Ovis aries: one gene and its partner. Each later gene encodes a partner of the first gene's protein in a complex. Links are inferred from orthologs where the notes say so. Each region holds a gene or a part of one and is shown on either strand. Other genes may lie near its edges. The genes, in order: IL1A and S100A13.

Region 1 (3,827 bases):
TTTATGTATAGTAGTTTGAATTTACTAATCTCATATCCCTAGTTCATCCCTCCTAACCTTCCCTCTCCCTTTTGATAGCCATTAAGTTTGTTTTCTATGTCTGTGAGTCTATTGCTGATCTGTTTATGGGCTCCTTTGTATATTTTTTTCAAGTTATTTTTAAAATAATTCTATTTATTTATGTTTGACTGTTCTGGGTCACTGCTGCGTGGGCTTTTTTCCAGTTGCAGCGAGCAAGCGGTGGTGACTCTTTGTTGCGGTGCTTGGGCTGCTCAATGGGCTGGTTTCTCCTGCTGCAGAGCATGGGCCCTAGGGCGCATGGACTTCAATAGCTGCGGCATGTGAGCTCAGTAGCTGTGGTTCCTGGGCACTAGAGCACAGGCTCAACAGTTGTGGCGTAGGGGCTTAATTGCTCCACAGGAAGTGAGAGCTTCCCAAACTGCCTTGTTAGGGGGATTCTTTACCACTAGGCCACCAGGGAAGCCATGTATTACTTTTTAGATTCTACATGTAAGTAATATCATATAGTACTTGTCTTTCTCTGACTTACTTCACCAAGTATAACAAGGTCTCATTTTTGAGTCTGAAGAGGGATGACAAAAAACCTTGCCAAGATCACATCGTTTGAGGGAAATCCTAAAAGAAGAGGTGGGAGGTAAGAGGGAAAGGGGAGGCATACAGAGGAAAGGGGGAAGGAGAGTCGGGGGAGGGAAAGACCGATGGAACGTGGGTCGCCAAGGCCAAAATGGCCACCCTTCTCTCTAAGACAGTTGAACAAAACTCCTACTGTAAAGGAGTCTTGTTCACTGGCCTCTCAGTTCCTATTTTCCTTTATCGCAGAAGTCCTTCTATGATGCAAGCTATGAGCCACTTCGTGAGGACCACATGAATAAGTTTATGTCCCTGGATACCTCGGAAACCTCCAAGACATCCAGGCTTAGCTTCAAGGAGAATGTGGTGATGGTGACAGCCAATGGCAAGATTCTGAAGAAGAGACGGTTGAGTTTAAATCAGTTCATCACTGATGACGACCTGGAAGCCATTGCCAATGATACCGAAGAAGGTAAGGGGTCAAACAATAATATCCTTGTTTTCTGTTTTCAACAAAATGCAGACAGCAGAGTGTAGGGGGAAATAAAACCTAAAACCAGAGTAACAAGAGGGTAACCACCCATTTGTCTGATAATTATAAGAAATGAAAATTAATTTTTATCCTTCTGCAAAGGGAAGAGAGCAGTAAGTGCTTGAGCTTAGCATATGTGCTCACAGGCTTACTTGGTGGCCATATGATTAAGTCATGTGACTTCTAGCCTATTGGCAGAAAGTAATTATATACTGTTAGTGAGTGACCACTTATAGGTTATGCTATTCCACATACTGGTTATGTCTTGGGCAAGTTACTTAACCTTTCTATGTTCTGGTCTCCTCTACTGTAAATGGAGTTAATCCAAGCCCCTAATTGTTGTGAAGATTAAATGAGTCAACACTTGCTGACTTCTGAACTAAAATAATGCCTGGCACATAGAAAATACCTAATAAATGTTCGCTATTATTGTTGTTATTACTTTTGCTAATACTACAAACACTACTAACTTATTAATGATTGCATTATCTCTAACCTTCACAACAACTCTGCACTCTCATTTTATATGTGAGGAAACTAAGCTCAGTGAGATAGTGACCTGCCCCAAATCTCACAGTCTGTAAGGGTAGAGCATCAAATCATATCAGTTCTACCTGACTATAGATGTCATGAGTTTTCCCCCTTGCCTTTACTGTACAAGCCTCTTCGTGAATTATAAATCTAATATTTTTAAAGTAACAGTTGATCACACGTGTTCACCTAGAAAATTAGAAAATACAAGGAAAAAAATTAAAATTACTCATACCACCCCTCAGAGTTTACCACTGCCAGCACTACATTGCTTTCCTTACAGTCTTTTCTGTGTACATACAGAGTAACAAACATGAAGAACATTCCTAGGATCAACCATGTGCAATTTAATATGCAGCTTTCCTCATTTATCAATACATAAAGGACATTTTAGAGCACCGGTTTTTCACCAATATATGTAATGTGACAATGACTGTCTATATCAATAAATCTTGATTTCTATCATCATTTATTTCCTCAGTGATAAAACATTCCTGTAAGTAAAAGTATTCAGAGCCATGAAGATTTGTAAAGCTTCGAAACATACCACCGTTCAGAAAGGTGGTAGATAGGAAAAAAAAAAAAAAAAAAAACGAAAAAAACTTTTTTAAAGCAAAAAGATGGTAGACATTTATACTGGCACCTCAGTGACATATAAAATTTTTAGTGGATTCTTTTCTCAGGGTGCATTCATTTGAAAATGTAGTTGGAGAATACGAGGAGTCTTCCCGGTTATTTCCAAACCTCCAAACAACCAAAAAAGTTGTACATGTGATCTCTTAAAAAAAACAACAACCACCATTGCCTGAAGAATCAAAGTTTTTAGACTAAGTAACCACAGGGGTAATCCTGGAATCAATTCCGCTGATGGGGTGATTTCACTTCTATGTCAATTTCCTCACCTCCCTTGGGATATTCTTCAGGTGCCTTCAATAACTACTTTGTATGCTTGTATTAGAGCAGATACATCATCCATGTTTGTACTTGGACATTAATCTGAGCTTGTGATAATGGTTTTAGAAATCATCAAGCCCAGATCAGCACATTACAGCTTCCAGAGTAACGTGAAATACAACTTTATGAGAGTCATCCACCAGGAATGCATCCTGAACGACGCCCTCAATCAAAGTATAATTCGAGATATGTCAGGTCCATACCTGACGGCTGCTACATTAAATAATCTGGAGGAGGCAGGTAAATGGACAATTCTGTCATCTCCCCATCTTAAAAAAAAAGATTGATTTGTTTATTTTTGGCTGTGCTGGGTCTTCATTGCTGCAGGAGCTTTTCTCTAGTTGTGGGAAGCAGGGCCTGCCCTCTAGTTGCAGTGCTCTGGCTTCCCGTTATGGTAGCTTCTCTTGCTGGAGAGCATGGGGTTATGGGGGACTCAGCCTTCAGCAGCTGCAGCACAAGGGCTCAATAGTTGTGGTTCCTGGGCTCTCAAGCAGTGGCTAAATAGTTGTCCACCACATGTGAGATCTTCCCGGACCAGGGATCGAACCCTTGTCTCTCGCATTCACAGGCAGATTCTTTTACCGTTGAGCCACCAGGGAAGCCCTCTCCTCACCTTTTTATTTCTGCATTTCTTTTAAGCTTTCTGCTTTTAAAGAATAAACCTCTCTAGATTCCTGGCTTTGCACAGGAAGCACATTTTAATTAAAAAAAAAAAAAAAAAACTTCTGGGTTAGGCCAGAAACTTCAACCAAATCTGAAAGCTTTAACAAGTGTCCTAGCTCTGAAAGCACTAAGTGCAGTAGAAAGCTTTCTGAGGTATTATCTCCCTTGGTTCTCTGAGACACTCTTATCCTCATATTTTAAAGGTAAGGAAACTGAGTCTCAGAAATATATAATGACTTACCCAAATTTACTCAGAAGCCAATGAGGAGCCTTCTCATCAAACTTCCTAATAACACCAAACTAGAAAGAGTCCTTATCTTTGATAACATAATTGTGAGGCAAAGCACCCAATAATTTTAAAGAAAAAAAACAAAACTGGAAGATTTGCATGTGTTCTGAAGAATGAAATTTAGGATCCAAGAAATTCTGTTACACCAAGCCAGCTTCCATGTTGCACATATTTTTAGCTTAAGGACATGTCATCAGTAAACAAAATGATTTTCAGAGATCAAAAGAGGTTACTCTGTGCTAACAAGCAGGGCTATTTCTGATTGGA
Region 2 (2,481 bases), on another chromosome or scaffold:
AACCATCTCATCCTCTGTCGCCCCCTTCTCCTCCTGCCCCCAATCTTATCCATGTTTCCCTTCATATCCATCAGTGTAGTTTTCTTCACAAAAGCTTAATATAGTTCTACATTTTCCATTTATTTTTTACTATTTTAAGGGGAATCTTTCGTTATATTTCCAAAGTGGTATTTGTTTTTGAGTATTAATATTGTCACCAGATACTTTATCATTTCTAATAGTTTCTTTTTTGGGGAAAGAAATACAGAATTGCAGCTAAGAGCATAAGCTCTGAGTTAGACAACCTAGGTTCAGATACAGGGTCTAGTTTGTCATCTGTGATGAGTCCTTTAATCCTTCTGAGCCTTAACGTCTCATCTGTGAACTGGACTCGTAGTAATACCGTTCTTGTTGGACTGGTCTTGCATTAATTCAGTCAGTGTTTACTGAGTGCCTACTATGTCCTATTCTGACACTGTCCTAGGCTTTGGGTTATAGTAGTGAACAAGCCCCCACTATATGCCAAACACTCTCCCAGGCATTGGTATCATGGTGGTGGACGAGATGGACAAGACCCCTGTGCTCCTTGAGCCTTTCATTCTAGCAGATTATGAAGACTGAATGATGGAAAGCATGTAATATGTTCAGCATAATGCTTGGAACAGTCAGCACTATTAAATGCTTACACTTATTGAAATGTTAGCTTTTATCGCTCTTTTTGGTTTTTCCTAGGTATACAATTATATAATTGCTAATATAACAAGGGGTGAGTTGACATCTTCTTTCTTAACAATTTTACCTTTTGTTTCTTTCTCTTGACTAATTGTATGTCTCCCCTCTCCCTCCCCGCGTTACACTGGCAATTGCTTTCCACTGGCAGTGCTTATAGTATTTTGCAGTTAAGTGTGATTGCGGCCTTTAAAAAAGCCTGTTGAGCTCTTCTGTGAATTAGTTTCGTGCCGTCTATAGATCTGGAAAGCCTTCTTAACCGTCATCCAAACGTTGATTCAGATGTTGGGCATGCGCTGTGCCTGAGGCATGCTTGTCTGGTTCGACATGGGTCCGCCATTCAATAGTCAACTTTTCTGCTGTGGTTATCCATCTGGCAACAAATCCTTTGATCACGGTGGTCCGACTTAGAATAGCCTTAGATTTCACAGGTCTGCTGGGAGAGACTTGGCCAAGGACCCCCTAGAAAACCAGATACCTTGTGTCCTTGCCATTCTCCTGATCTACCAGGCTAGTGACCCGGCTGGAAGAATGAGAAGGGATTAGGGTTATGCAAGCAGGCAGCAAAGTGCTGTGAACTCCTCCAACTTTCTGTGAAGGAGGAGGGTGCCCTGAGAAGACTCTGAGGGTGGTCAGAGGGAGTCCCTGCCTACAAGGGCTCCCCAAGTGTCCTTGGGCTTATCCCAGGGCTGGTGCAGTGATGTGCTGAAGCCTCCTGGCACCTGCAGTTGAAGGCCCATTTGTGCGTCTCTTCCCCACTCTGCGTTCAGGGACATCACATTTATGGTTCACAATCCCCCATGGTGGGTGTATTTAGATCACAGCACACACTATAACGAGGTTCCCCACTTCCATCCTTTGCTTCCGCCTGGTGGAGTTGGGCACCTGGGCAGTGCCATGTTGGGGCTGCAGCTTCATCCAGAAGGTGTGGGGGTAGCCCTCGTGCTCTTTGAGGGACGGGAACAGTGCCTGGCAATTCTTCCCTGTCTCCCTGTGTCAAAACAGTCATTTCTAACTCCACTGTTTGCTGTGGTGTCTCCTCAGGATGTGGGCTCCTTAGATGAGAAGATGAAGAGCTTGGATGTGAATCAGGACTCAGAGCTCAAGTTCAGCGAGTACTGGAGGCTGATTGGGGAGCTGGCAAAGGAGATGAGGAAAGAGAAGGCCCTGGAGATCCGGAAGAAGTGAAGCCAGCTGGTTGGGATGGGGGCCGGCATGGCATGGCTGGGTTGAACCCCACTCCCTTCAAATAAAGCTTTCTCCTTGAAACACAGATGTTGCTTATTCACGCCCATCCTGATTTCTTCTCTTGAGACCAGGGGGGTGGGAAAGCTCTGCCCCCACCTGAGGGCAAGTCCAAAAATTATGAGCACCAACATAATTCGTCTTCAAATACTCTGCACCATCAGGTCTTGAACGGGTAGGTGCTCAGTAATACATGGTTGATGAGTGAATATGTGAAAGGGAGAGTGAGATCTCTGGGACGTGTGAGGGGACTTATATCCCACCAGCTGCTCTGGGGCTTGGCCCTGGCTTTCACTTTCTTATTCCCAGGGTTTGCGTCCTTGGGTGGTAGTGATAGCAGTGAACATGTGTTGAGGGCTTGGTCTGTGCCGGGAATGGTGCTGAGCATTTTCTTGTATTAGTTAATTCTCACAGGCTGTTGAGGTAAGTACTATTTTTAAGTCCTGTATCAAAGATGTGGAAACAGACTTTGGAGAGGTTAAGTCACAAAGACAAGAATAGATGGAACTGGAACTTCCCTGGTGGAGT

What was found.
Region 2: the proteins of IL1A (region 1) and S100A13 are in contact, whole or in part, in an NMR structure (PDB 2L5X), measured with the Homo sapiens proteins. The link is inferred for Ovis aries from reciprocal best matches to the Homo sapiens genes IL1A and S100A13. Residues at the interface, in NP_000566.3 of Homo sapiens: Asn148, Gln150, Tyr151, Thr194, Ala195, Gln196, Asp197, Leu203, Leu204, Lys205, Glu206, Met207, Gly216, Ser217, Glu218, Thr219, Asn220, His239; in NP_001019381.1 of Homo sapiens: Met1, Arg25, Gln26, Glu27, Gly28, Arg29, Lys30, Asp31, Ser34, Asp68, Ser69, Glu70, Lys72, Phe73.

What each region holds. Positions count from the first base shown.
Region 1 is NC_056056.1:60,205,870-60,209,696, forward strand, and holds part of IL1A (interleukin-1 alpha), read left to right. Parts: intron 1-559; exon of another isoform or gene 560-655; intron 656-840; coding exon 841-1,063; intron 1,064-2,674; coding exon 2,675-2,848; intron 2,849-3,827. UniProt on the Homo sapiens protein: Cytokine constitutively present intracellularly in nearly all resting non-hematopoietic cells that plays an important role in inflammation and bridges the innate and adaptive immune systems.
Region 2 is NC_056054.1:104,062,301-104,064,781, reverse strand, and holds the end of S100A13 (protein S100-A13), read left to right. Parts: intron 1-1,752; coding exon 1,753-1,896; 3' UTR 1,897-1,981; downstream 1,982-2,481. UniProt on the Homo sapiens protein: Plays a role in the export of proteins that lack a signal peptide and are secreted by an alternative pathway. Binds two calcium ions per subunit. Binds one copper ion. Binding of one copper ion does not interfere with calcium binding.